Pelodiscus sinensis: one gene and its partners. The protein of the gene in region 1 interacts with the protein of each later gene in a pairwise test. Links are inferred from orthologs where the notes say so. Each region holds a gene or a part of one and is shown in the gene's direction. Other genes may lie near its edges.

Region 1 (7,826 bases):
GAGGTGGTATTTTATGCGATGATGTACACAGAGATTACACGCATTCAGTGATTAGCTAAGGAGGAAGACCAACAGTTTGCATAAGAATCATTCTCTCCGAAAGTCATTCCAGCCAGTCAGACTTGGGGAAACCCTGCTCTTCTTCTCGCTTGCAGAAGTCGGAATCCAACAGTTCACAGGACATTCAACCAAGGCAGCATCCTATGAAATCCCTGCTTCCTCCTACCCCAAAAAGGAGATCCTAGCTCCTGTTCCAGCCAGGCTGCAATAACACTGCAAGCCTTGAGTGACAGCCCAACATACGCGACAGCCTGGAGGCAGGGCTCTATAGTGTGCGCACTTGGGGCTTCACACCCGACTAATACTCAGAAAAATAAAGGGCAGAAAAACTCTCCTCCACAGCCTTCCCACTTGGGTTTTCATTCGCTAAAATCCCTGTCAATCCTGAGCTACAGCAAGCTGAGGGAAAAGGGGATTTTACTTCTCTGTCCATACAGCTAGTCAATCTGCAGACCACTCTTGCACTAGGTAGCTCCATATAAGGAAGATGAGATTTGTGCCTCTATCAGCCAGGTCTAGTTTTCTGAGACCTACTGTGCTGTGTTCTGACACCCACAGGCCTGCCCGTAACATCCCAAAATAGCGTTTAGTACCAGGAAATGTACAAAATTCATCCCATGGCTGTTTCCTAAAGGGCAGTTCAACAGCTCTCACTAGCACTCAACACACAAGGAACAGAAAACTACCATACCAAAGCCTGCCCCGCACGCCACAGAGCAGGCAGTTTGGCCTCGGTTAAAGCCCGATTCAGCAAGCTACCCCGGCACATGAATAACTTTTTGCATATGAACAGTCTCATTCCAGGATAAAATTAAGATCGTGGTGAAATGAGGGCTAGGCTATGCATTAAGCAGGCACCAAGATGGCCAGCAATACTACTGATTAGTCACGGTATTTTGATGCAGATATTCTACTGGGCAAAGGACACTGTGGGTGAACAGCGCTGGCAGGGAAAAAGGGGACCATTAATGACTCTGGAGGCCAATTCCAAACGCAGCTCAGTGCAGTTGAGGCTCTGCAACTGAAAACATCTGCAAACACCGCTGCAGTTTTCATCCACACCTATCATCACTTGCACACCCAGCAACAGAGACAACTGAGGAAGACAATGGTTATTCTTTAGCATTATTTCATCTCTCATATCCACTCCTGACAACAGTTTCTGACCTTTGCTATAGAAGGTAGCATACTTCAAACTCTTGTGGGGCCAAGGCCTACGGTGTATTTAGCCTCATCATGGTTTGATAAGTGACCTAGATATTGCAACAGAGGGACAGGGGATTTGTTTTAGCATCTTTGCAATCTACAGAAGTTCCAGCTAACAAGTTCCCAAGCACAACAGGAGCACATCACTAATAACGGTTATGGACCCACACTATTCAGTGCAAACTGGGATGCAGATAAGTCCCCCTTAATTGGCTACTCTTCAGAGTCAAGTGTTTAGTTGTAAAAGATCCAGGGGATTAAAAAAAAATCAGCGCGACTTCTCTGAGATAATTCCACCCACGCGCCAGGAAGTGAAAATGCCATTGCTGGAATGAGTTTCTTCTGAGACTCGTCCAGAGTCTTTATTCTGTAACTACCACACAGGTCAGCGATAGCTCATAGCACAGTGGTCCCCAACACGGTGCCCGCGGGCGCCATGGCGCCCGCGGGGGCATTTGTGTGCACCCGACAAGTGCTCGGGGCTGGCTTGGCCCCAGACACGTGGCGCATGCGCTGTGCCAGAGCCAGCCTCGGGCGCATGGTGAGCGCCGGCCCCGGGTGCACAGATACAGGCAGGTGGGGGCGCCAGCCCCGGGCGCGCGGTGAAGTGGCCACCCACGCTCCGGGCGTGCAGCTATGGGAGGGAGGGGGACACCAGCCCCAGATGCGTGGCTATGGGGGGGGGGGCGCGCACTGGCCCTGGGAACGCGGCGAAGTGGCCGCCCGTGCTCCAGGCGTGCGGCCCATGGGAAGCGCGGCCCCCTGGTGTGCAGCTATGGGGGGGAGGGGCGCCGTCCCTGGGCACATGGCGAAGCGGCCGTCCATGCTCCAGGTGCGCGGTGCATGGGGAGCACCAGTCCCCTGGTGCACGGCTATGGGGGTGCACAGGCCCCAGGCACGTGGCTCATGGGGGTGCAGCATATGCGTAGCCCCGCCCCCTGGTGCACAGGTGTCCCTGCCCTCTGGTACCCAGCAGGCGAACGGCCACGCCCCCTGGCTCCCGGCAACGTCAAATGGTTGGGGACCACTGTCATAGCATTTGGGGGCCCATTACCACTTCATTCTCTCTCAAAATCTGTGAAGCAAGGGTAAGGGACTTGCCCAATGCCACAGGTTTGGCAGCAGAGCTGAGATTAGAACTCAGGAGCTCCTGGCTCCCAGTAGGGATGTGAAAGGCTAACTGGCAAGCATCACCCTATAAACAGGAGGTGCTTGCTGGATCTGATTAACCAATAACTGATGGAGGCTGCTCCAGCGGAGGCTGCGAGCAGACAGCAGCCCCAGCCCTCGCGTGGGGGCTGGAAATTGGCAGCACCAGCACAGATTTGGGAGCTGCTCCAGCCAGGCTGGAGATGTCACTAGCCCAGATCCCACTTTAGTCAGTTAACTGAACATTTAACCAGTAACTGATAAACCAGGATTTTGCATCCTTAGTTCCCAGCCCCACCCTGACAAACCTGCCACATGAAATTCCACAGCAGTGACTGCTGTACACAAAGCTCTAACTGCTTCAAGCTCAATTAGCTTTCAAGGCAGTGAGGACCAATTATTACAAGGGGCAACTATCCAAGAATGAGGTTTTGCCCTGAATGTCTAAAGGGGGTGATCTATTGGTCAGAGCATGGGCTGAAACACTGTATTGAGGGGGGGGTCATGCCTAATCCAACTCTGCTACTCGCCCAAGAGCATTTTATTCAGCTTGCAGCATCTCTTCTGTTTCCTTAGCTCAAAATCATAGATAATACTTATCTCTAAAGAGTGCTCAGAATCAGTTACTTAGCACAACAGCGCTCTTAACCATCCTTAATCGTTACAAAGCCATCGGATAAGGGGGCAGACTTGATGAAGTACAAGCTCTAGCAAGGACTTCATTCCTGAACTGGCACACAGAGCACACACCAGGATTAGCCATTCAAGAAACTGTTTGAGAACTCCAGCAATTGACATTTTCCCTGTTGGTCCTGGCTCATGAGCCTGGCCAATTGGTTGAAACGAATTCATGAAGCTGCACAAGTGGGGGGTGGAAAAGGAGAACCTCTGAACAGCATCCGCAGCTTCTCACGACATTCTAGAGACAAATCAGGTGGGGTAACCTACCACCAGGCACTGGAGGAAAGAAGAAATGCCAATGACAGGGAGAGGAAAAGGAGGAAAGACTTCTTCACGTAGGAGGGAGAAGCTGCCTTCAGAAAGGGGACTTGCCTCCTGGTGGGGGTAGAATTTTAGGCCACCCAGTGAGGGGAAGGTTATGGAAAGGGAACAAGGATGGAAAATATAGGTTTCTTCAGTTGCAGATGGTTCTAAAGCAACAGGGAATTGAGAGAGTGAGTGAGGGAATAGCACCCCACAAAAAGTACAGGGCAGGCCCCCAAAGGGAGAAGGAAAGGAAGGCTGCAGTCTCAGAAAATAAGGATGGGGAGGTGAGCAGAATAGGCGGCATATGGAGCAGATAAATATCCAGGGGAAGAGATGGGCGAGAGAAAGAAAAGAGGGGAATCTCCAGTGCTAGGGCAGGTGCCCCGGGATAGGGGTTTGAAGTGCACAGGTGTGATGAGGAGAGGGCAGGGAGGAGGAGAAAGGAGTCTGGGTGCGAGGTGCAAAGGGGAATGAGGAGCGGGGTGGAGATAGAACAGCGGGCGGGAGAGAAAGGGGATCGGGACAGTCACGTGCAGATGGGGGGGGCTGAGGTCCCACTCCCGGGGGAGGCGGGGGCGCCGAGACCCCTGGGGGAGCTGCAGTACGAGCGGCCCCCACTGATCCTTCGAGGGGGCGGGGCGGGAGGAGGAGCTCGGTCCGAGCGCGGCGCGGGGACGGGGGAGGGGGCCCCGGGTCCTTACGAAGCTGAGCGCGGTCCCGCTCCTCTTCTTCCCCTCCGGCGGCCGCTGCTCAGTCCCGGGGGCGCCCGGGGCCGCCCCGGCCGCAGGCTCCTCCCCGGGCCCCGCGGCCCCCGCCTCCTGCTCCCGCCCCCGCTGCTCCGCCTCCATCTTGCGCTTGAAGAGCTCCAGGAAGCTGCCGTCGTTGGCGAAGACGTTGACGCCGCCCGGGCCCTGCGGAGCCGCCGCCCGTCCCCCTCGGGCCGCCATCTTGTCCGCGGAGAGCGCCGCCGCGCCCCGGGGGGTGTCGGGAAAAGCCAGCGCCGGCCGCGGGGCACGACGGGAGCAGCCCCAGGGGGTGTCGGGAGGGCGAGCGCTGAGCCGCAGGAACTCCGGGCAGCCGCCGGCGCAAGGCACGCTGGGAGAGGAAGAGCGTTTCCCCGCGCGAGGCACGCTGGCCCCGATCGCGCTCTGAGGGACGGGCAGGCCGACGGACCAATCGGCGGCCAGAGCCTGAGCCTCGACTCCAATCAGGTCCCTTTGGGTGGACGTGAGGCGCTCTACGCCCCGGCGTCCCACCAACCAAAGAGCGCCCTTCTATGTAGCCCAATCACGTCAGGCGGATGTCGTAAGGACCAATCAGAACAGACGCAGGGGCGGGACTTATCAGGACTAGCTCAGAGTGGGCGGGGTTGTTGAAGACCCCAGTCATATGAGGGGGCGTGGTCGGGCTATACCATTGTTGTGGACTGGGGGACAGGACAGCGGCAGTGACGACTAGGATACAGCGGCCCAGCTCTGTTTTCTGTCGGCGCGTGCTCCTTCTGTGCGTCCTCCCTCTGCGAATGGTCTGGTCCCGGGCCGGGTCACGTGAGCCGGTTCCAAGATGGCGGCGGCGGCGGGGTCCGGTTGGGGGCCGGAGGCGGACGAGTTCGAGGACGCCCCCGATGTGGAACCGCTAGAGCCAACGCTGAGCAACATCATCGAGCAGCGGAGCCTCAAGTGGATCTTCGTGGGGGGGAAGGGAGGCGTGGGCAAGACCACCTGCAGGTGAGGGGGGGTGAGCGTGCGTGGCAGTGCCACGAAGGGGGAAGAAGGGGTGGTTGGGATGTACCATTCCTGTGGAGAGGGGGTGCCGAGCTCACCTGGAGAGGGTGGAACTTGGGATGTACCGTTATGCGTAGGGGAGAGGAGCCGTTGGGGGCGTGGCGAGGCCCCCGGAGGGCTTGAGGTTGTACCACTATGTGCGGGGATGGGGGAGTGGCTGGGCTGTACCATTGCTTTTTTGAGAGAGGGGTGAGGGTTGGGGCGCACCATTCCTACACCACTAGGGGTGTTGGATGTACCATCGTAGAGGTTGGGGTTGCCTGTAGGCGAAGGGCCACGAGAATGTACCATGTTAGTATATAAGGTGGATGATACCACTTGGAGGAGAGAAGGGTTGGGATGCACCATTTGGAGGAGAGGGGTGCGGGACTTGCTGCTAGTCTAGGGAGCAAGGGGTGAGAGGAAGAGGGGCTGGGCTGTACCAAATTGGACCTGCTATAAGCATTGGTGGGGCGAGGCCACCTGTATGAGATTGTACCAGATTGGGGGCGGGGGGGACAAATTGTGAAGACTGGGACATACCAAATGTACCAAAGAGCGGGTGGGGTGTTTGGTCTGTACCATTATGCTGGAAGGACTATAGATGAGCCTATGACTGGTAGGGGAGCTGGGATCTACCATTGCAGCTTGAGGGGCACAGGGAGTGTGATGCTGCCTCTAGGGGAGAGGTGAAAGCGCCTCCTGTCCTATGCCTCACCTCTCCAGCGATCCCAAACCCCGTGGATTTCCCGCCGCTAGTTCCCTTCTCGTGTCACCTGAATTGCCCCCCATGCAGCTGCAGCCTGGCCGTGCAGCTGTCAAAGGTGCGTGAGAGCGTCCTCATCATCTCCACCGATCCAGCCCACAACATCTCCGACGCCTTCGACCAGAAATTCTCCAAGGTCCCAACTAAAGTCAAGGGCTATGACAACCTGTTTGCCATGGTGAGCTTGGGCTGGGGAGAGAAGATGGGTTTCAAATGGCTCTGCTTGTTTGGCTGTATGCAGGGCTGGCACCGAGTCCCTAAGCATTTGGAGCCCTGCTTCCCAGTTGCCTGTGTTAACTTCTAGATTGAGCTTCTTCTTGGAACTGGAAAGAAAGAGGAAAAGTCCTGGCTCATTCTCCTTTGGTTCAGCCCTTAGTCCCCACTTCTCTTCCAGAGCTAAGAGTTAGACCTTTGGCATCCTGACTCCTCATCCCATCCCCCCTCCAATCTAACCACTAGATCCCACTCCCAAAGCAGGGAATAAAACCCAGGAGTCCTGGCTCCTAGTCCTCCCTGCTCTAACCACTAGATACCACTCCTCTTTTAGAGCAGAGAATAGAATCCAGAAGCCCTGGTTCCCAGTCCCTGTTCTAACACATTAGGCATTCAGAAATGTGTCCATCTCTTCTCAGTGTTCAAGACGAGAGCTGGTGCTGAGTGAATGAGTCGCCCATCCTTGGGATAATGATGGCCATTCTTCCCTAAATCCTTGCCCCCTTCTTCCTTGCCCAGGAGATCGACCCCAGCCTGGGAGTGGCGGAGCTCCCGGATGAGTTCTTTGAGGAGGACAACATGCTGAGCATGGGCAAGAAGATGATGCAGGAGGCCATGAGCGCTTTTCCCGGCATTGATGAGGCCATGAGCTATGCGGAAGTGATGAGGTGAGCTAGGCAGCCTGCTTCCAGGCCCATGCTACATGCCTGCGGCCATTGGGAAGCGTAGCTGACGTGGGGGTAGCCCTGATGAAAGGGTGACCAGGACAGGCCCCCTATCATAGGGGGAGGAGAGGTTTGGATTTACCAGTAGTGTGGCAGCGGGAGGAGAAGAGCAGACCACTTGTAGGGGACCAGGAGCTGGGCTTTATGGCCGTTATGGGGGGGAGGGATGTGCTATCAAGGGAAGGGATGAAACCACCTATAGCAGAGGATCGTTAGAATGTACCATGGCAACATGGCAGGTGGGAATGAAACCATCTGTAGGTGAAAAGGCTGTTTGCTATACAGGCTCGCATATTGCACTTGTCTCTGGTTCGAGGACCTTCCTGTAGTGCATTAAGCCAGTGGTTCCCAAACTTCTTTGCACCACAACCCCCTGCTGACAACACAAATTACTAAACGACCCCGAGGGGTGGGGGGGCAAAGCCTGAACCCACTGCCCTGGATAGGGGGCACAAAGCCATGGCCCACGTGCTTCAGGCCTCGGGCATTGGGGCTTGGGCATCAGGCCCCAGCAAGTCTAAGCCAGCCCTGGTGACCCCCTTAAAACAGGGTGGTGACGTGCTTTGGGGTCCCAGGCCACAGTTTGGGCACCATGGCGTTACGCGTGTAGCTGCACACCTGTCACTTGGGGAAGGAGACCATCAGCCCGGGGCTGGGATATGCCGTTATACTAATAAGCACTTTAGATCTGCAGGGTGGGTATGTCCCTCCTCCTCCCCCTGGCATTGCACTCGGGCCTGTGAGATCTGGGTTCAGCTGTCCACTGCCCGTGTAGCTGTTGGCAGGGTCAGAGGGATGACCTAACAGCCGGGGCATAAACTCAGACTTTATATATTTAGTTCCCAGCTCTGCCTGAGGTGTCGGCTGGGACTTGGCTAGTGACTGTGTTTGGTAGGGCCATGGTGGTCCAGCTATCCAGGGGACTAAGAGCATTTCCCTTGTCTGTCTCTTCTGTTT
Region 2 (7,555 bases), on another chromosome or scaffold:
GGTGTGTGATAGCATCTATGCTATTTAATATCTTTCTGGTGGCCATGCTCCAGGTTATTGAAGATGAGCTCCAAGGCAGAGTTGAAATAACCTAGAGAGTGGATGATAGCCTCTTCAATTTGGGCTATGTCAGAGCCAAGACCAAGACCACAACGTCAATGGTACAACTTCAGTATGTTGACAACACCAAGGGTGAGTGCCACCTCGGGAGATGGTCTCCAAGCAATCACTGACATTTTCATCCGAACCTACCACAGGGTGGGATTGACTCTCAAAGACCAAGGTTCTCTTTCAGCCAACACCCCTCAGACCCTTACCAGAACCAACCATCATGGCGGACGACCAAGTGCTGGAGAATGTCAGCAGCTTCCCCTATCTCAGAAGCTATGTGTCTAGCAATGCTGACATTGATGATGAAATCCGCCACTGAATCGCCAGTGCCAGGGTGACTTATGGACATTTATGGAGGCGAGTCTTTGATGACTGTGACATCAAGACGCAGACCAAGATCGTCATCTACAAAGCCATAATCATCCCAACTTTGTTATATGAAAACATCATATAGATGTCATATTAAAGATCAGGAGAAATTCAACCAACGGTACCTGAGAATATTGGCAGGACAGATGAACCAATGTTACTGTCCTCACAGAGGCTGATTCTTGCAGCATCAAGTCAATAATCACCCACAGGCAGCTATGATGGTCTGGTCATGTGGTCAAAATGCTTGACACACATTTGCCTAAAAAGATTTTCTACACTCAGCTGAGGATCAGGATGAGGTCTCATGGCAGGCAGAAGAATCTCTATAGAGACATCTTTAGGAACACCTTGGTAAATTATGACATTGATGCTGACACCTGAGAGAAGCAGGTGGAGGATCCGGTAACTTGGAGGACCACCATCAAGAATGGTGCCTGACACGCTGAGATCAGGCGTCATCTCCATGAAGATCGGAGAGCCCAACATAAGGAGCATGCTCCAGCCCACATTGGCGCTGCTGGTGTTGGCACCACTGGAGATAGAGACCTCTCGTGCAGCTGTAAACCACACACCTAGTGGGTGTGGTTTAACGTTCCATGTAATGGCACTTAGACCACTTACAGCAAGAGATAAAAACAAGTGAGCTCTACAAACTAAGCTGCAAGCCAGCTGGCTTTATATCTCAAGCTGTAGAGACTCCTATGCGGATATCTTAGGTTTGAATCTACCTGGTGGCATTTACACAGCCACTGTCAGAGAGTGTTTCTTGCCAGAATTGGTCTAATTTCTCATCTTTGCACTCACCGAGAAATCTTACCTGATTCAAAGGATTCCAGAGAGAGAGAGAGAGGCTCCCATAGTGCAGGTACTCCCATATTTCCAGCTAACACAGCTCTGCATTGTGAACAAAGGTGAAAGTAAGCCGGTGCACTAGTAAGAAAGTGGCTGGTTGGGGGTGCCTCAGCCCTGAGCCTCCCATCCTGCACACACTCATTCCAGCCACCTACTCTGACTTCTACCCCATACGCCTCCAGCCACCTGCCCTGAGCCCCTCACGCAAACATGTCTAGTGCCATGCCCTGACCCTCTCAGACACACATTTCCATCCCCATCCCCTGATTGTGGGGTATATACTCACTATGCATTGTTCACAATGCCAATGATGGTGCCTCCAATGTGGACATGATCTGTGGACAGAGGGAGCAAGTGTGAATCTGTCGATTTTTATTTTGTTGACTTCTGGGTGTTTACATAAGTTTTGTGGCAACAAAACTTGGTAGTGTAGACTACTACCCTAAGGTGCATAGGCACTCAGTCTCCTAGCCTGAGGGGAAATTTGAGAACCTCATTAAAAGACTCCCTCTGCCTGAGAAGGGGAGAGAATGGACAGAACAATGAAGAGAGCTCTCCCATCCTGGTCCCAGGCACAGAGCAACAGCAGCCCTGCCAGGGGAATTCACATTTCTCACAGCTCAGAGCCTAGGGGAAGGAGAAGCTACTGATCCGGCTCCTCCAGAAAAGCCCCATCAGCCAAAGCAACTTTTTGATCAGCTCACAGCTAAGGGTTTCAGGTTTCTTCAGTGACAGCAGGGAGCAGCAGTTCCTGAGTTTCCTACCACAGCTGAAAAATGGAGGAGTAGCTGAAGGGCTCCTGCTCCTTCAGCCCTGGAAAGAGACCACTTTTGCCAATACAGTAGTGGGAGACAGGCTGCAAAAGATCTCATGTGCTGGCTCCCTGCACAGCAGCTGTTCACTGACTACACACTATAGCTGATTGGCTGGACACAACTAATCCTGCTGCTCAGGGGAAAGACTGAGGGAGCCCAGCAGGCACATGAGTGGATTTGTGGCTGTCATAGCTGATTATCCCGGTGGATGCTGAGCAGCCATTTTTCTTCCTGTTAGCCCAGCTGACAGAATTGGCACCAATGTAATCAGAAAAATGTGATGTAAGGGCTAGCACTGAACTGAAATTCAGGAGTTCTATTCCAAGCTCGGTTACTGGCCTATCGTGACCTTAGGCAAATCAGACCTCTGTCAGTTTCCCTATTTGTAAAATGAGGATATTGATGCTTTGAGATTTACTGAAGAAAATTTCTGTATAATTTATTATATACTAACATTGTGCAACTGGATAGATATCCAACCTTTTCTTCTTTTAAATTAGAAATTACACATTATTTTCTATGCACATAATGTTGGATAACTGTCACAGTAATTATATTGCTTGTGCATAACTACACTTTTCTTGGGGTGCATGTCTCCCCAGGCACACTTGTATTATTTGTAAGGAAGTTCATGAAAGCCAGTAAGTCAATGTAAGCAAAACCCTACCTATGCATCTTTGCAACTGGAGCCAGCAAGCATATTTGCACCTCCTACCATAGACTCCATGGGTTCTATGGGGCTGGAGCACCCCTGGGGAAAAATTGGCCAGTGCTCAGTACCTGCTGGCAGCCTTGCTCCTGCCTTCTGTCTCTTCCTTTCATCTATAGTAACCCACCCAGTGGCTCTGCTGACCAACTCTTCCACCTCCTTCCTACCTGCCAGAACACAGCGGCTGCTGCAGTGGGACAGATGCTTAGGAAGGGTGCAATGGGGGCAGGACATAGTTGGAGAAGAGGTGCTATTTTAGAGGAAGGGATGAAGTGGGGGCAGGGCTGGAAAGGAATGGTTGATTACCCCCAAATTACAGGTGGAGCCAGTCCCTATGCTAGTTTCCCACCATTTTCCTTCCCCATATTCCTATTTACATTGCCAGTGGCTGAGCCCCCTGCTTGCCCCACCCAGGTTATAGCCTAGAACTACAAACAAGGCCCCTACGCAGGAATTTCTGTGGGGGTGGGAGTGCTTTTTTTTGTAAACGTGGAACACAAAGGTGTGAATGCACCACCACACTCCCCCAAGTAAGCAGAGAAATCAGCCCCAGCCTTCTCCAGACCTGCCAGAGCATGGGGAGGGAGGATCTAGCAGCACGCTGCTCCTACCTTGCTCCTGCCTTCCTCTAACTGGCTGGAGCATGCTTACTTGGTGGACCATGGGGGCTGCTTTTGCAATCTTTCAATCCCCCCTCCCGCCGTACTGGCCTGCAACACATACAATGATTCTGCCTCAGCCTATGCACATTGCCCTTGACTCCATGCCGCCTGTGGAGTTGAGGCTATTCAGTCAGGCTTGGGGGGCAGTTACATGGGCAAAAGCAAAATGTAAGGCTGCGTCTACACTGGCACGATCTTGTGCCAAAGCGGCTACTCTTGCGCAAAAACTTGCTGCCTATCTACACTGGCCATGTGTTCTTGCGCAAGTAAATCGACGTTCTCATGTATAAAATCAGGCCTTCTTGCGCAAGAACTATCATGCTCCCGCTAAGGAATAAGCTCTCTTGCGCAAGAGCTCTTCCAGAAGAGGCCAGTGTAGACAGGCAACATGAATTTCTGTGGTTAAAATGGCCATCAGAGCTTTCTTGTGCAAGAGAGCATCTACACTGGCATGGATGCTCTTACACAAACGCACATGCCAGTGTAGATGCTCTTTTCTGGAAGAGTTTTTGCACAAGAAGCTGCCAGTGTAGATGTAGCCCTGCAGGTCCTTTACCAAAGTTAGGTTGAGGTAAGGTGTCTTGCCTGGGTCGTGCCCTGCCGCGTACACCTCCCGTGGGTGCACAGCAGCATTAGCCAATTGCAATAGCTCCTGTGTCACCAACACAAGCGTCCTTACCCCAGCTAACTGAGCACCCCTGGGACTGGTTACTAGAGGTAGGGAAACTGAGGCACGGCGGCTCACTCAGCAACGCAGCTGAAGCCTGGCTACCCCACACTCGGCCAAGCCGCCCCGCCCACGGGCGCCCCTCGCTCAGGGGCAGCGCGCGCCGCTCCTGCTGGGTTGGAAGCTGAATCCTCGCGAGAGCGCTCCCATGTTGCCACGTTCCAAGCGCCCGGTTTCGGCACGGAGAAAGAAGCGCAACGCATCCCACCCAATCCTTTTGTCCGTACCAATAGAACGCACACGATGCCCCGCCCCCTTCCGGCGAGAGCGCTGCGATTGGTGGAGGTGGCTCTCAATCGGCTTCCGAAGGGGGTGGGTCCTTTGGCCTCAGCCCCGCCGCTCACGTAGGGTCGGTTGGGCGGGTAGCGGCTCCTCCCCTCGCGAGCGCGCGCAGTCCCCTCCGCTACCTGACAGACGGTGACATGGCTCCGCGCAAGAGCTCCAAAGGCACCGGTGGCGGCAGCAGCCCCAGTCAGGGGCCCAGGAGAGGTCAGTGCCGCCCGCCCGGCCGCGGCAGCCCCGCCCCGTGTCCCGCGCCGGGGCTGGGCTTGAGCAGCAGGCTGTGGGGGCAGAGCCGCGGGACGGGGCGGCTCCTGGGAGCGCAGGCGGGGTGCGCCGGGCAAGGGGATGCCGCTCCCCGAGTGCCCGGCGGCGGGGGCCCGTCGAGCCTGCAGCAGCCTCGGCCCCTGGTGCCCCGCGGGGAGTGGGCGGGGCGGGGATGTTGGGGCCCCGCGGGACTGTGGGCGCCGCTCGCTGCGTTTTCGAAGTTGCCGCTCTCTTGAGTGTCTGGCTCCGGTGGCCGGGCCTCGCTGCACGCTGGGCTCGTGCGGGAGTCCCGGGGGGCAGGAGGTGAAAGCGGCGGGTGGGTGCGGGAAAGCGCCGGCGGGGTTTGTGCGCGTGTATCTGCCTCCCTCTGACTGCCTGGTCACCTTCAGCCTCCTCCATGTGTTTACGTGTCAGCTCAGCGCTTGGAGGGAAGGGAGGTCGGAACAGATGGTTTAAATCTGTTACTCAGATTTCATTTATTCCCCTTTTTGCTCGAGTTTGAAGTGGAGGAGAAGCTTAGCGTGTAGCTGAGCAAACAGAGGAATTCCTCATTGCAGAGGATTAATCATGAGTAGAGCTGCATGTATTACTAGGTGTGCTTAGCCCAGTAATTTTAAACTTAGAAGTCTTAGACAATCAAGTCTAGGAGTGTCTTAAATTCCTGAATAAAAAGCAGGCTGCTTTTTGCAAAGAACTTTACAGTGAGCGTTGCAGTGAGTGAAAAAGTGCACTTTGGCATATTTTTAAAATAAGACTGCTTTTAGTGACTTGATACCACCATGTATAAAATACTGATGTCAAAATATTCTTTTGTTACCGTAACTGTCAAGTTTTTATCTCTAGTAATCTGAAGGCTTTTTAATTAGCTGTAAATTAGAAAGTGCAGATATAAAGGAAGATTTATTTTCAGAAAGTAAGACATGAGCAACTTGAAACTGGGTTAACAAAACTAACAATAGAATTAATAATTTTTTACAGTAAACTCACATAAAACAAAGTAAACTTCTGGGAGGAAAATACATGTCAGGTGAAAGTATATTAATGCCTTTCTGGTAGTTATATAACTGTACAGGTTGTAAAGAGCTGATCTCGTTAGCTTTACGGTGAGCACGCTTTGTGCCTATACATTGTTAGCTCTGTGGACTTCTAATTTTTCAGTTTTATTTATCACTACTAGCATAGATACAAGGTTGATCACGTGATCTCAGCCATGTGCATAGTACTAGTAGAACTTACAGTGCTCTATCAGAGGTTTATACATATGGCATTGTACTTATTGATCATTTTGATAATTGAGTACAGTGGTTTCAAATGACTCTAAAGAAACAATGTGGTTGAGGTAATATCTTTTATTGGGCCAACTTTTGTTGGTGAGACAAGTTTTACAGTTATACAGTGTTTAATTAGGTTAACAGCTGGTATGCCCCTTAAATTTCTCTTGAACAATTGATCTGGGAATTATGGGTGTTTATTATAATAATCATACAGCAACAGGAAAGAGCTTATTTCAGTTTTAAATTCTGTAAAATGCGTCTTTTGAAAAACAAGACATTAAAAATGCATCCTGTATAGAATCTGGGCTACTATAGAGAACTCCAATACACCTTCCAAATTTGTTTTAACATTTCAAGTTAAAAAAGCCTGAAACTCTTGATCATATTTACCTATGATGAGTAAGAACTTTTCCCAAATATTTATTAGGGATGTTAAAATGCATTTATTTAGGTAAATGTTTACCTGCTGAAAATTTCAGCAGATACACATTTACACATGGGGGGAGGGAGGGGAGTTGGGCAGCTCCCTAGGAGCTGGTGTGCGAAAGACAGCTCCCTGTGCATACTGGCTCCCACGGAGCCACATCTTCCCCACACGCTGCTGCCTCTGCATCTGATACAGTGTGGGGGGAGGAGGCTACATGTAACCGTTTACACATTCATATCCTTAATCATGTGTGCAGTTGACCTCTGTAAAATCTGTCCTTTTATTTTAAAAAAGACTTGGCCCGTATGCTTACATAGGATCCCCTTCAGTTGTGAATGGTGGAAACTAGTGTTTCCATATTTTATTTGGCCAAGGAACTCTTTTAAAATTTAAAGAATTTTGTAGAACCCCTAATAACAGTCTAATATAGGCTGCTAAAAAATAGACCACAAATTAGCATTTGTTTATTATTATACTTACTTAACAAGGTCATGAGATCAACCTTTAATTTAATTGCACATATTTAAAAACAAAAATCACATATTATTTTTTAAAATCATAAAACGTTATTGTAATGGAATTTTCTCGCGGAACCCTTATTTTCACTTCGTGGAACCCAGAAACACCATTTGGGAAACACTGGTGTAAACAGAAGTAAGGAAGGGGTGTCTGCATAAGGCTAGGTTCATAGTAGACCCAGAAGGTTGGCTTACGGTAAGTCAATGGGGAAGTTTCTTCCATAGACTCCATGGTAACTTGAATTAAAGTCTCCAGCAATGTTATTCATGTAGTTGGAGTTGTGTACTTTAGATCTACTTTCTGTAATATTGTAGGCATAGGCTAAGAGCTCTTCACTCCAGCTCCCAGAAAAGAGAGATGTGATGAAGTGGGGAAATAAGTTTTACATTTGCAACATGAGGGTGTCGAAGACGGAGTCCTCTGATTTGTGTGCATCACCTAAGAAAGATTCCAGGTATCCTTTTTTCTCAGAAACTAATGAGGAAAGACTTGTCTTCACACCTATGCATGGCCAGGGACGCTGGAGTCAATGAAGTCAGGA
Region 3 (8,010 bases), on another chromosome or scaffold:
CCTTCCTCATGCGGAAGTTCTGGAGCCACTGATGGTCATCCCAACACCTCATGACAGTGCGGTCCCACCAGTTGGGGCTGGTCTCCCTCTGCCAGAAGTGGCGGTCTACAGTGTGCAGGGGAGGATGGAGGGGAATTTGCTGCATGAGGAGCGCCAGGGCTTGGGTCAACAAGTCTCCCAGTCCAGGCTGGTCGTCATGTCCCTGCAGCACCACGTGGGCAATTTGCATGAACTGTGCCACAAGGCACAACATGAGGCCCCAGAGCCCGGCTCTGCTTTGCAGCAGCTCTAGCTCCATGAAAGTGCTGTGGCATCCACAAGGGGAACTAGAGCACATAGCGTAAGGTCCCTTAAGTGGTCAGTGGAGAAATGGAGTGTGAGATGTGGCCATAGAGTGGAGCCCCTGAAAGCACTCACTGTACCTTTCCTAACCATGCAGCCCACCCTCCTGGTGCCTTCCCCAGAGTGCTCCCCCCTGGGGGCTTTAAGTCTGAGGCAGGCTCCAATCAGTGTGGATGCACTATTTCAAAATAATACTTAGTAATTTTGATGCTCCCCTGTAGGGGGGGACATGCTATTTTGAAATACTTATTTCAAGAGTTATTTCAAAATAATTTCCCAGTGCAGACATGCCCTAATTACAAAGTTAAATGGGTTTTGTTCCTATGTCTGAGTGAAGACTCCTGGTGTAATGAACCTTGAGGCAACGTCTACACTGGCACCCTTTTCCGGAAATGCTTAAAAGAGAACAGTTTTCCGTTATAAGTATTTCCGGAAAAAGCGCATCTACATTGGCAGGATGCTTTTCCAAAAGGGCTTATTTTCTGGAAAATCGCGTCTAGACTGGCGCTTTTCTCCAGCAAAAACCCCGAGCCGGAAAAAAGCGGCAGCCATGTAAATGCAAATGCCGCGGGGGATATTTAAATCCCCCGCGGATTTGCAATTCCGAAGTGTCTCATTAGCATCCCTTTTCCGGAAAAGGATGCCAGTGTAGACACAGCCCCTGGGTAGTGTAGACATACCCCTTGAGAGTAAAGAAGCATCTCTGTATTGTCTGACATCACTGCAAGTTCTACTGACAAATGCACTTAAGTATTTTGCAACTACAGGGGAAATATCCAGATTACCTTCTGTTGCGGACTGAAGGGGATCAAAGTAAACTCATGAGTCTGTAGCAACACACTATTGCAAATAACATTTGTGCACAGAAGTTTGTTTTTATTTGTGAAGTGTCAAATGTTTCACTTAGTGCTCACCTAAAACCTCAAGCTGTCTGTGTCAACAAGCAGGCAAGGTTATGTACCTTTACCCCAAAAAATTCAACCAGCCATTAGTTTTGTTTACTTAAGTACCATGCTATTGCAACACTCTAAACAAGACACAGCTAAACACACAGTGATGTTGAGTAAAAAAGCTGCAGATTGTCAGACAAAATTATACATTTAAACTTGCCCTTTCTGTCACTTAATATAATTAGCAAAATTAAGAAAATGGTATTTGGTTGCAACTCCACTAGGCTGCATTTGAACAAAATTCCTCAAGGTTTCATTTTGTTTCTTGCACAAAATTTGTATGTGTAAACATCTGCCCTCTAGTGGAATAAAATTTGTTGAAACCTTTCAGAGAAATCATTCTCAAGTCTATGTTAGGCTATTCAGATCAAAAGTTGTAAAGTTTACAACACAGGTCATGTGCATCACGCCATGTATAATATGGTATCAGGAAAGTATTTGCTATGTCATCCCTCTTGTTTTCCCTGTCTGGAACAAGACTCAGTTGACAGATACACAGTTGAGCTTTATTGATCGTGTGGGAATTTACGTATTTGCACAACATTGTACAAAAAGTGGGCTCAGTATAAAGGCTGGGATGTGGCGGCAGAGGAGTTTGGTGAATTTTCCAAAGCTGTAGTCAGAAACCTAGATGGGATGTTCCTAGTGCATTGCATTATTCTGCTAGTTTTTCCTCCATTTATGCTTGTTCATTAGACTCCAGAATCTGCTCTTGACACTAGATTGTTTCTTTGGAAATCTTATGTAAGTGCCAAGCATTGTTTTTTTCAGAAATATTTAACATTAACTTGCAAAAAGAAATTGGGTTTTGCTCCCAATGATGTACAAAGTAAATGTTTTATTAATTTAAAAAATGGAAGAATACGAACAAGGAACTGGAGAGAGAACTAGAAATTCAGATATCCTCTACCCTGGAAGTCTCACGTGACTGCAGGCTAGTAAAATTTACCTCACTAAAGAGTGAAAGCTGAGCAACTGGGGATGGAAGTTTTAGATAGACACATTTTTGCTGTGGCCTAAGAATTCAGTTATGTCATGTTGGTCACCAATATCCTAGAACATGTGAATTTTGCCATTTATATGGACCATGTTGCCATCATTAGCTGGCTTTGATGTAGTTGTTTCAAAAAGGTGACTCATAGTATGTAATTTTGTCATCGTATTTTTTAACATCAGTGTGTCATGACTATACAATTGTATTGACAAAACCATATGCACACTGATTCTCTATTATTATGCCGACCGTATTTCTTGATTTCAAACATTCTGTCCCATTCTCCCCATAAACCATCGAAATGTCCCAGAATTTCAAATATTTTGGCAAATATTTTGGAAGGGCTGGGGAGAGAGCCTCGAGACTCCCCACTGGATCCGGCTTGTGGGGAAGAAGCACAGCTAGTAGCGGCTCCATGTGCTGCCACTTTCCCTCCCCTTCCCAGGGGAACAGGAACGCATCCCACTGCTCCGGAATCTGGCCCATAACAGCAGCGGGAGATGGGGCATGGTGTTAGTAGCCCCTCGTGCCCAGACCCCGCAACCCCAGCCCGCTTGCTGGTCGCTTTCCTGGAGACCCCACTCCCCTAGCCTGTGCAGACCCTGGGCCCCCAGGCTGCTCACTCTCCACCCACACCCTGGGCCCCCAGCCTGCTCACTCTCCACCCACACCCTGTGCCCCCAGCCTGCTCACTCTCCACCCACACCCTGGGCCCCCAGCCTGCTCACTCTCCTCCCACACCCTGGGCCCCCAGCCTGCTCACTCTCCTCCCACACCCTGGGCCCCCAGCCTGCTCACTCTCCTCCCACACCCTGGGCCCCCAGCCTGCTCACTCTCCTCCCACACCCTGGGCCCCCAGCCTGCTCACTCTCCACCCACACCCTGGGCCCCCAGCCTGCTCACTCTCCACCCACACCCTGTGCCCCCAGCCTGCTCACTCTCCACCCACACCCTGTGCCCCCAGCCTGCTCACTCTCCACCCCACACCCTGTGCCCCCAGCCTGCTCACTCTCCACCCCACACCCTGTGCCCCCAGCCTGCTCACTCTCCTCCCACACCCTGTGCCCCCAGCCTGCTCACTCTCCACCCCACACCCTGTGCCCCCAGCCTGCTCACTCTCCTCCCACACCCTGTGCCCCCAGCCTGCTCACTCTCCACCCACACCCTGGGCCCCCAGCCTGCTCACTCTCCACCCACACCCTGTGCCCCCAGCCTGCTCACTCTCCTCCCACACCCTGTGCCCCCAGCCTGCTCACTCTCCACCCCACACCCTGTGCCCCCAGCCTGCTCACTCTCCTCCCACACCCTGTGCCCCCAGCCTGCTCACTCTCCTCCCACACCCTGTGCCCCCAGCCTGCTCACTCTCCTCCCACACCCTGGGCCCCCAGCCTGCTCACTCTCCACCCACACCCTGGGCCCCCAGCCTGCTCACTCTCCTCCCACACCCTGGGCCCCCAGCCTGCTCACTCTCCACCCCACACCCTGTGCCCCCAGCCTGCTCACTCTCCACCCACACCCTGTGCCCCCAGCCTGCTCACTCTCCTCCCACACCCTGGGCCCCCAGCCTGCTCACTCTCCACCCCACACCCTGTGCCCCCAGCCTGCTCACTCTCCACCCACACCCTGTGCCCCCAGCCTGCTCACTCTCCTCCCACACCCTGGGCCCCCAGCCTGCTCACTCTCCACCCCACACCCTGGGCCCCCAGCCTGCTCACTCTCCACCCCACACCCTGGGCCCCCAGCCTGCTCACTCTCCACCCCACACCCTGGGCCCCCAGCCTGCTCACTCTCCTCCCACACCCTGGGCCCCCAGCCTGCTCACTCTCCACCCCACACCCTGGGCCCCCAGCCTGCTCACTCTCCACCCCACACCCTGGGCCCCCAGCCTGCTCACTCTCCTCCCACACCCTGGGCCCCCAGCCTGCTCACTCTCCTCCCACACCCTGGGCCCCCAGCCTGCTCACTCTCCTCCCACACCCTGGGCCCCCAGCCTGCTCACTCTCCACCCCACACCCTGTGCCCCCAGCCTGCTCACTCTCCTCCCACACCCTGGGCCCCCAGCCTGCTCACTCTCCACCCCACACCCTGGGCCCCCAGCCTGCTCACTCTCCTCCCACACCCTGGGCCCCCAGCCTGCTCACTCTCCACCCCACACCCTGGGCCCCCAGCCTGCTCACTCTCCTCCCACACCCTGGGCCCCCAGCCTGCTCACTCTCCACCCCACATCCTGTGCCCCCAGCCTGCTCACTCTCCACCCCACATCCTGTGCCCCCAGCCTGCTCACTCTCCACCCCACACCCTGGGCCCCCAGCCTGCTCACTCTCCACCCCACACCCTGTGCCCCCAGCCTGCTCACAAATCAGAAAAAAAAATCCTGTGTCAGATCACGTGTCCTGATTTTTGGTTTGGAAAGTAGGGTCACTCTGTGCCCTGGTCCTGCGCTCACAGGGGGCACCGCTTGGCTTTGTTAAGATGGGAGGTGGCTGCAGGTGAGCTCACAATTCACCTCTGCTCAGCCCCTCCAGCGCAGCCAGGCTGCACGCCCCGCCTCGTGCTACAGTGAATAGGAAGAGGCCACGTTCCAGTCAGAGGGGAGCAAACGCAGCTGAACAAGTCCCACCAGAGCCATCTACCCCCCCCCCCCCCCATCATCTCTTGGCCCCGCCCAGCGCTGCGTGACGCCACCGCGAAGCTGCGCTGCGGGCACTGGCCCGCCCAGGCTGCCGTCTCGCTCGGTGGGCGGGGCTGACGGAAGCCGGCCCGGGCAGAAGGGCCTGTGTGTAGCAGGCAGCGGCGGGGCCTGGCCCGTGTCTCTCCGCCCGCCCTCCCCGCATCCATGGCGGCGGCGATGATGGCGGAGCAGGAGGCCGCCAAGGGCGGCGGCGGGCGGAACCGGGGTGGGGTGCAGCGGGTGGAAGGGAAGCTCCGCGCCAGCGTGGAGAAGGGCGAATACTACGAGGCGCACCAGATGTACCGGACTCTCTTCTTCAGGTACAGCCCGGCCACCCTTCCCTCTGGCCCCTTCCAGAGCCTTCCGAGCGCGCACACTAGCCTGCTGCCTGCGCGCCCGGCCCGTGCGATTGGCCGCGCGGCTTGTCCGTCTCATGCGTTCGCCCGCTGATTGGACGAGAACGGGGAGGCGCTCGCCGTGCAGGGCAGCGTGAAGTGCGTAGGGGGGGAGGCGGCTTGCAGGGGAAGGGGGTAGAATTCTCTCTACGCGCCCCCCCCCCAGGTGTCCGGCCTTCCCCCCCCCTTCGAGAGCGCCGAGGGGAGCTGCAGAGGCAGAGCGAAGGGGGCGGGGCCGGGGGCTCTTGGCGGGGGGGGGGGTTAGTGAGGGGGGGGCCTCCCCAAAGACAGATGTTAATAGGGGGAGGCCGGCGTCTGTTGCCTTGGGACTCCCTGGCCAGCAGGTCTGGAGACTGGCCCCCCGTTTTGTCACCCACACGGGGCCGCGGCCACCCGCGGAGGCTGGGGGCTGGGAGCTGACGATCGGGGTCGCGCTCCACCCCAGAGCGAGTGGCCTGGGAGGGGAGGCAGCGGACGTAAGATCACGGTTTAAAGGTTAACAGGCCAGGGGCTGTTCCCCCCCCCCCCCCCCACCCACCCCGGCCAGGCTGCAGTGGACCCCCGCCTGCAGCATGGTGGCCCCGGCCGAGCTGGAGCAGCCGGTTAAGGGGTTACCCTGGTAAACATGCTAGGAAGGCTGCTTAGCAGGTGATCAGTTAACTCCGTACATCCCTTCTTGCCTAGCTCTTCACCACCAGTCAGATGTGGCATCATGGGGGCTGGATGCCTTGTGGAAGGGCCCCCTACTCCCATGGGGCCCTCAATTTCTCCCATGTTTGTATTCTACTGCTGTGTTAGACTGTCATCTTGCACTTCTAGAGAGCCCCATGCAGTCTCAACAGAAATTGGGCCCAAAAGCAGATGCCTCATTTTCTCATTCTTTTCTGGCTGTTTAGCGTTGCATATAGGCTTGCCTTGGAGCAAGCAGGATTGGAGAAGATTCCTTGCTTATTTTTTCTACCCTGTTCCCCACTGCACCTTCGTATGCCAATTTGCTCCAGCAACTTGGCATCCTAAGGCCAGTCCTATCGGAAGGGGGTCTCCACTCTTTCTTTAACCAATAGAAAGAGAGGTGATGTTGCACCTTTTCTATTAAGCAGCAGAGGGGTAGCCGTGTTAGTCTGAATCTGCAAAAGCGGCGAGGAGTCCTGTGGCACCTTATAGACTAACTGAAGTGTAGGAGCATAAGCTTTCCTGGGCAAAGACCCACTTCGTCAGATGCACCTGATGAAGTGAGTCTTTGCCCACGAAAGCTTATGCTCCTACACTTCAGTTAGTCTATAAGGTGCCACAGGACTCCTCGCCACTTTTCTATTAAGAAAATCATAAATGGATGTTACATTATCCCTCTTCCACCTTGTCAGTTTCTTCCATTCCTTTCAGGGATACTTAAAGTTAAAAGGATGAGGTTATATTTTCAGAAGGATTAAAGAATGTGAGTCCATGAGGAGTAGTTTCTTGTCAGATTTCAGAGAGGTAGTTGAATTAGTTTGTTTCAGTAAAAACAACAAAATCTGGTGACACCTTAAAGACTAACCAATTTATTAGGATATTGGAGCATATGCTTTTGTAAGCTATAACTCATTTCCTCAGATGCAGAAGAGAAAGACAGGAAAAAAGTTATTTCAAGGTTAACTATATTAAAACAAGCTGCTGAAGGACTTAATTGACATTTGTAAAGGACTTTGACATCCCCAGATAGAAGAATAGTAGGACAGAGTGTTTATTATTATTGTGATTGAATTAGTAGTTCTTCAATAAACCTCATGCTAGATAAAGAAGTTAGCATCTGGTAGTTACAGATATTCTTAGTAGCTGTAAACTTTTTTTGTGTCCTTTGCTCCAAAATGTTCTCCTTTTCAATCATATTATTGATATGTACAGTGTGCAGATTTAGTCAAATCTGCTTTTTAGGGCTGTCATAAAATTACAACTTGAATTTAAGAAACAAAAAAAAACTTTGATCAAATGTTTCATTAAAGTACACTCAAATCTTCCATTTGAAGAGTAAGAATTTAAAATGTGCCTTAAAATGCATCTGTAGTGAGAGAGTCTCTCTATACAGATCTGCTTTTAATCTCTAATCAGATGTAATTCTAGTTTGTGGGTGTCTGGATTCTTGTGACATTGATGGATTATCAAGCAGAACTTGATTTGAGGACTCTTTAAAATATATTGATATCTCACCATGTTTAGTGAACTTAGGAATTTTTTGGTTAAAGTGGACACCTCCACATTTTGTGTCTATTGGGATGCAAAAAGTTAATTGTGAGCATGACCCTAATGGGTGGTGCTTATTAGTTCCAGTTAACTGGTGGGTGCTGGAGCAGCTCCTGATCCTTTGGTCAGGCTGGAGCAGCCCCTCCTGCCCATTCTCATTAAACAGTTAACCTATTAAACAGGGTTTTACGTTCCAATTGCCTACTAATGAGTAACATAACAGGTCTGCTTTATGGTGCAGTACTTGTACTATATTACTACTTTAAGTACATGGCAGTTATAATATTGAATTGTCATCTACTGTGTAAAACTTTATTTTTAAACTCTTTTTTGCATTTAATATTAGTTTGTGAAGGAGTCTAGATACATCCCTACTGAGACGTAAGTGACTAGTCACTATCCAATAAGCAAAAGCTTATCAGATAGTCAACTAGTCCC
Region 4 (6,927 bases), on another chromosome or scaffold:
CAGGGCTGGCAGGCTCCCTACCTGACTCCACACAACTCCCCAGAAGCAGCAACATGTTCCTCTGGCTCTGAGGTACAGAGGCAGCTGAGGGGATCCACACAATGCTCCCACCCAAAGCGCTGACTCTGCAACTTCCATTGGACACCAGTTACAGTCAATTGAAGCTCCAGTGGTGGAACTTGTTGGCAGAGGCAGCACACAGAGCTGCCTCATCACGCCTCTGCCTAGGAATCAAGGGACAAGTTGTAGCTTCCAGGGAGCCCACCGAGGTAGGAACTTCTCACCCCTTCTTACTACTCTGCCCCAGCTCTGAGCCCCCTCTCACATCCAAACTCTTTTCTGGAGGCTCTACCCCGCACTCCCTCCCCAGAGCCCTCACTCCCTCCTGAGGCTTCTCCTGCACCCAAACTCCCTTGCAGAGCCCGCTTCCTGCCCCACACCTTAACCCCTATCCCCAGCCCAGAGCCTCTTTTCATACCCTGAACCCCTAATTTCTGGCCCCCTCACCCAGAGCCCATTCCCCCTCTCACACAGCAACCTCTGACTCAGCCTGGAGCTGCCTCCCACACACTGAATGCCTTGGCTGCAGCTTCGCGCCCCCCCCCCCTTCCCCACACACACACACACGCAGAGTCCCCTCATCCTTGGCCCACTCCAGAGCCTGCATCCCAATGCCCTGCTCTAGCCTTGAGGCCCCACCCCAGAGCCTGCCCTCGCAACTGGAGCCCTCACACCCCCCCCCCCCCCCCCGTCCCAGCCTGATGAAAATGAGTGAGGGTGGGGGCAGTGAGTGACAGGCTGATAGAATGGTGTGAGTGGAGGGGGGCTTCAGAAAGGGTAGGGCGTTGGGGCAAGAGTGTTCATTTTGTGCGATTAGTAAATTGGCAATCCTATTTCCAGTAGGGGAACCCTACTTTGGTGGGCCTCTTGACAGCTGTCAAAACAGAGCTTTCCTCTTGTGAACCACCTCACTTTTTTTTAACATTAGCCCTAAAACTTTAAAAGAAGAAAAAAAAAAGAAATCAGGAAAGGTATTAACAAACATCTTTGCAGTAATATATAGATTCTAGGGAATATATTTTCATTTACATTAAGGCTGCTTTACACAACATTGGCAGTGTACTTGGTGAAATTAATTTACAAAATGTTCCTAAGTCCAGTTCAGTGGTCCCTGTAAACTGTGCACTTTTGTTACTGCTCAGGAGAGATTCAAATGCTTTCCAGTTGATTAGCAGAGTGGCCACAGCTATGTGTTTTTGTTTCTACTGATGGTGGACATTCACACATGTCTTGGTGCGTGTAAAAAAAATATTCTGCATATAGATAGATTAGAGGGAACTTTGGTCCAGTTCCTTCAAACAAGGATGGGAACAAATGGTGCACAGACAACTTCTTTTAACAGAAATCTCGTGTAAGGAGGCTATAAAGTAGGTGTCTAGCTCTGTCCCTTTCAAGGCTCTCCTGCCAAAGTCACTGCTTAACCCGTAGTATTTCCAGCCCCAGGCTCCTCCCATTTTTATCTGGAAAACCCTGCTAGTCTCAAGGCCCTAGAGACTGAACAAGTGGCTTGACCATTAATCCCTCCTTGGTGCAGCTGGTCTGCTAGGTCTGCCAACTTTCTACTTGCACAGAACCAAACACCCTGTCCTCCACTCATTTAATCTCCCCCTCCCTCCATTGCTTGCTCTCCCCCCGACCCTCACTCATTTTCACCAGGTTGGGGAGAGAATGGGCTGTGGGAGGGAGGGAGGACTCTGCCTATGACCAGAGATGAGGGGTTTGGGATACAGCAAGCGGTTCTGGGCTGGGAGAGGGGGTGCAGGTAGGTGAGGGCCCCAGTTGGGGATGTGGGCACTAGATAGGGTTCAGGGGAGAGAGCTCCAGGCTGGAGCAGAAGATTGGGGTGCAGTGGGAATGAGGACTCCAGCTAGGGGTGTGGTCTCAGGGGTGGGGCTGAGAATGAGAGGTTTGGAGTGCAGGAGGGGGCTCCAGGTGCTGGTGTGGGCTCTGGAAGGGAGTTTGGTTCTAGGAGAGAACTCTGGGCTGGGGCAGGGGGGTTGGCGTACAGGAGGGGTATCGGGGTCCTGGCAGTGCTTACTCACGACTCCCAATAAGTGGCTGCTAAGTCCTGCAGCCAATAGGCCAGGGGTGGGAATCTTTTTTTGGATTGGGGGGGCCCTGAGCCACAAAAAAATCATTTGGCAGAGGCACAAAAAAAACCCTCACTAACGTAGCCCCCGACTGAGAACGAGAAAGACACTCCCCACATTCGCCTCGCCCAGGCCAGTAGATTTTATGACCCCCCAAGGCATTTGGGTGAGGCTAAAAATGAGGGGTTCAATGTGTGGGAGGGGGCTGCCAGGGAGCCCCAAGCCTTAGGGGCTGGATCCAGTCAAGCCAGGGCTGCATCCAGCCCCTGGGCCTTAGGTTTCCCACCCCTACCTTACACGCAGAGTCTCTGTGCTGCCCTCTCACCCGCAGCTCCCATTGGTCACAGTTCCCAGCCATTGGGAGCTGCAGAGCCAGCACTTGGGGCAGAAGCAGCATGTAGAGCCTTGCTGAGTCTAGGGGCTACCTGGAGCCAGGGCAGGTAGGAAGCCTTCCTTAGCCCCAGGCACCCAGTGTAAAAGGACTTTTACTGGCCTGGTGAACATGCCAGAAACCAATCACCTGGCAACCCTATTCTCTGAAACACAGAACTCAAAGATGCCTGATGAAGGATGTTTTAACCTACATTATATCTTTATTTCAGGGTGTTGGTCCTGCATAGTATCATTAACTCTATGGGGAATTTTATCCTGACTGCATATTTATTAGTGTTCCTTAATGGGCAAGCCACTAGCATAAGTGATAAATATTAGGCAAGCTATTGGTATCCTTTGGCATAATATGTTACTTGATACACAGTAGCATTAAAATGCACATTTGTAAGGCCCATACTGGGCAAAAAAAAATCAAAATAATGTGATGGCTTAACTTCCTTGAAACCAGTGAAAAGTAGGACTATTGATGTGCATCTCCACCAAACAGTGAAGAGGAGTCATACTGCTACTAATGCTTAGTGTGACTATGTCCCAATTTGATCAGAGTATCAGAGGGGTAGCCGTGTTAGTCTGAATCTGCAAAAGCGACGAGGAGTCCTGTGGCACCTTATAGACTAACTGAAGTGTAGGAGCATAAGCTTATGCTCCTACACTTCAGTTAGTCTATAAGGTGCCACAGGACTCCTCGTTGCTTAATTTGATCAGAGACAGTCCCTTTGTTTAGCCATGCCCTGGCTGTTCTGACTTTTCTGGCCAAAGAAAGCATTTGTCCCTTTGCTCTTGCCAACTTGATCAATTGTCAAGAACAAGTGGGACAGATGCCCAAGTCTGTCAAAAAAGTGGGGTGCAGAGGAACATGGAGAGGGGCAGTGGTGACACCAGCCTTACGCGGGGGGGGGGGGGGGGGAGGAACGATTCAGGCAAGCAGTGATACTGACACCAATTCCAACTCTAGGGAGTGGGGGGCAAACAGGCTCAGCCTCTAGCTCCATGAGGAGAAAGGGAGCTCAAGTGAGCATCTCTGGCTTGCCCTGTGCAGGGGGCAGTCTTGGGCAAGCGGATGTGGGAGCAGAACATTGGGGGCGGGCGGGTAGGGCTTAGGCTAGCCCCTTGTGGGGTCCTGTTTTCCCTTTGGGAAATATGTCGCCCAGCTTGAGTTGAAAGAACCAGCACAGACGTATGCACCTACCACTGGCCATTATTATTACACCACCCGCTTGTTCATGAAGTGTTTTTATCCCTTAACATTCCTGGAAATTGGCTACTGAGCACGGGCATCGTGTGACACAGCGGCGCTAACCCATTTGAAAGCGCGAGTGTTGCAACCTCTTTTGCAACAGCTCTTTCTTTCCGGCAGTGCTGTGTGATTTGTGAAAGGGGTGTGTGCAGCACCAGGCTGTCTTGCAGCATGCTAGATCCTGAGGGCAGTGTGGAGCACAAGGCTTCCTCCTCCAAAGTTTTTCTCATCCCTCTAGCCATGTTCCTTGCCTTAGCAACGCTGCTTTTCTTAGCATTCGCCACCTCCCAGCAGAAAGAGACTGATTTTTATACATTTAAAGTGGTAAACATCAGGGGCAAGCTAGTCTCTCTGGAGAAATACAGAGGCTCGGTAAGTTTGCCGAAAGATTAGCAGCTGCTCTCATTGCTGAGTGTAACTAACCAGCCCATATTTGAATGCTTACATACGGGAGTGGGCAAGCAGCTTATTCATTAACTTGCATGCATGCATGGATAGACTCTCATTTGTGCATTTTGTTTAAGTCCTGCGGAATAGTGCTTGCATGTTTACTTTGATATCGTTATGGGTTTCTCCATTCTTTTAATAAAACGTTTGCAGTCTAACCCTTGTGTGTGTGTGTGAATCTGTTTCTTGGGCAGGCTGCTCTGTGTATACGTGGCACAGGGGGGCTGCTTGCCGTTCGTTCGTATATATTGGATTCTAATGTCTATTAACCATGAAAGCATTTGTCCAGGATAGGAAGCATGTGGTATTCTAAAGCAAAGGTCTGTATTGCAAGATATTTACTCTTTTGAAAGACTTATTTTTTGCTGAATCCTGTTTGAGGTAAAATGGAGAAAAGGGAATGGTATGTAATCAATATGTCAAGGAATGCACCATGATTACCAATAAACAAATCTGAGAAAATAAGTCATTGTAGATTAATATCATAATCTTCTTTAAAGCATAGACATTAATAGCAGCAGATCTGTTTTTAAATGAATTTAAATTTTACTTACATATTACTCAGGGAGTCTTAAATGAAACATTCTTCCCAAAAGATGTACTCATTTAATCAAGTTCTTGAAGTGTGATAAGGATATAGTGATAACGAAATTTCATAATTATGAGTATTCAAAAATTATATCATAACTTTGCATCCAACATAGTCAGCATTTGCATTTAGAAACTGCAAAGCAAATCAGGACTGGTTCTTCATGCTACAATGGTAGAGAAAAAAACATTCTAAACTTGGCTTATCAGTATTCTCCAGTCCAGCACAAGGCAGCTGGACTGTACCTGCAAATTTGGCCCTAAAAGTTAAAATTGTCAGGGAAGACCCAAGATTGATGTTCCACGTGTTTAACACATTAAATATGTCACAATAGTGTTTTCTTTGGGTTTCTTGTTTAGTGTTCATGTATGAAAATATTAATAAAATAAGAAAACAAGGACATTTCCAGACAAAACATGTTAAACTGGAGTAAAGGTTGAGAGTAAGTATTAGTAACTTAAGGGTGAAAAAAAATTAAAGAACACTGTAATTATTTTAAAAAATAAACAAATTAAAAGATCAGGAAATTCAGAGTTAAGTAAAACTTTTAAAAATAATCCAGTAGTGAGCCATCTAGTGGAAATGTACAGTCCTATTTTCATAGTACTTTTTAAATACATTTTTTATGAATGGAAGGGCCTCTTACGATTATCTGTATGGAAAAACTGTTGTCACGCTCCCGTGTCTATATCCTATATATTTCTCTCTTTTTTTCTTCATCTATTTTTTTTCTCTTCAGCATCTGCGGAAATGAGTTGTAGCTCACGAAAGCTTATACTCTAATAACCTAATAAATTTATTAGATTTTTTTTTAAATAAGGAGTCCGGTGGCACTTTAAAGTCTAAAAAATTGGTAAGGGTATAAGAGTATAAGCTTTTGTGAGCTACAACTCACTTCCTCAGATGCTGAAGAGAAAAAGACAAAAAAGGATATAATAGAGATGACTGACATAGGTGCTAATTAAATTAGAATGGATGTGGCTCATCTCCAACAGTAGTGAGAAGCTGAGAGTACCTGAATGAGAAATTACCTATTGTAACGCAAGAGCCGCCCGATGGAGTGGAATCACCGTCCTATCTCTGTTGTTTGTATCTTTTTTTCCCCCCTATTTTTCTTTCTTTTTCTCAGCGTGTGAGGAAATGAGTAGTAGCTCACAAAAGCTTATGCTCTAATACCCTAATACATTTGTTAGTCTTTGAAATGTCACCAGACTCCTTTTATTCTGAAACAGACTAACACAGCTACTTCTCTGAAACAGTCTTTAAAAGTGCCACTGGACTCCTTGTTTTTATGATAATCTAGTCTCTCATGCATAATACAAATTGTCAATTCAACCTAGTGATTATTGCTTTAGTGTAAGAATTGGTTGAATGAAAGCATATCTTTTTAATGATAGAAACTCTTGATTTAAAGACTCCTAACTATCAAAGAGCATGGTGCATTATTTATTAAACTGAACCAATGGTTAATTATCCTTGCAGTTATTTCCAGTTTTGATTTTTAATAGACTGTTGTTGCAGAGATAAAGCCTCGCACATCAGGATCAGCTGTAGATTGTTTTAAGCAAAGATTGTGTTCACTTAAGAACATTTTTGCATATTCCATTCAGTGTCATTGTACCATTTGTGTGTGATCCTTGTACTTTTGCTAATAGGAAAAAGAGCTGAAGTTGGGAAAAGAATTAAAATATCCAAGCTCAAAAGAGAAGCTCTTTGGTGGATTAAGATTGAATAGGGCCCAGATCCAGTCTGACCAAAGCCCTCAACCAACCCCACCGATTCAAACTATGCTTAACTGCTACATAGGCCTCACATTGGCCACCAAAGGAGAATTTTATCCACTGCACACACAGTTGTTTGTTTCCAGGAGCACACTCAACTTGCTAGATGCTATACAAATATAATACACTGATGTTTCTATGTAGTTTAATATATATGTATATGATAAGATGTAAATACATTTTCTATCCCAGATGTACATTTTATATATGGAATACCATCAGATTGTTATTACACGGTAGTTGGCTTTTTTTTAAGCTTGTTCCCATAATTTCTTCCACTGGGTCTGTCAAGAGTCTGTAAATGCTCTGAATGGAGTGTATCTTGTCTGC

Evidence for each region.
Region 2: the proteins of GET3 (region 1) and ASPH interact in binary tests that used the Homo sapiens proteins (3 or more experiments, as listed by UniProt). The two-hybrid records come from large-scale screens. The link is inferred for Pelodiscus sinensis from reciprocal best matches to the Homo sapiens genes GET3 and ASPH.
Region 3: the proteins of GET3 (region 1) and GET4 interact in binary tests that used the Homo sapiens proteins (3 or more experiments, as listed by UniProt). The link is inferred for Pelodiscus sinensis from reciprocal best matches to the Homo sapiens genes GET3 and GET4.
Region 4: the proteins of GET3 (region 1) and GPX7 interact in binary tests that used the Homo sapiens proteins (3 or more experiments, as listed by UniProt). The two-hybrid records come from large-scale screens. The link is inferred for Pelodiscus sinensis from reciprocal best matches to the Homo sapiens genes GET3 and GPX7.

The regions. Positions count from the first base shown.
Region 1 is NC_134729.1:13,304,687-13,312,512, reverse strand, and holds the start of GET3 (ATPase GET3), read left to right. Parts: upstream 1-4,815; 5' UTR 4,816-4,965; coding exon 4,966-5,129; intron 5,130-5,961; coding exon 5,962-6,109; intron 6,110-6,663; coding exon 6,664-6,812; intron 6,813-7,826. Other genes in the region: telomerase RNA component interacting RNase, read right to left, coding at 4,104-4,349.
Region 2 is NC_134712.1:61,042,750-61,050,304, forward strand, and holds the start of ASPH (aspartyl/asparaginyl beta-hydroxylase), read left to right. Parts: upstream 1-4,547; 5' UTR 4,548-4,670; coding exon 4,671-4,737; intron 4,738-7,555.
Region 3 is NC_134726.1:26,320,400-26,328,409, forward strand, and holds the start of GET4 (Golgi to ER traffic protein 4 homolog), read left to right. Parts: upstream 1-5,003; 5' UTR 5,004-5,122; coding exon 5,123-5,277; intron 5,278-5,962; exon of another isoform or gene 5,963-5,977; coding exon of another isoform or gene 5,978-6,000; intron 6,001-8,010. UniProt on the Homo sapiens protein: As part of a cytosolic protein quality control complex, the BAG6/BAT3 complex, maintains misfolded and hydrophobic patches-containing proteins in a soluble state and participates in their proper delivery to the endoplasmic reticulum or alternatively can promote their sorting to the proteasome where they undergo degradation.
Region 4 is NC_134719.1:9,550,800-9,557,726, forward strand, and holds the start of GPX7 (glutathione peroxidase 7), read left to right. Parts: upstream 1-3,915; 5' UTR 3,916-3,951; coding exon 3,952-4,152; intron 4,153-6,927. UniProt on the Homo sapiens protein: It protects esophageal epithelia from hydrogen peroxide-induced oxidative stress. It suppresses acidic bile acid-induced reactive oxygen species (ROS) and protects against oxidative DNA damage and double-strand breaks.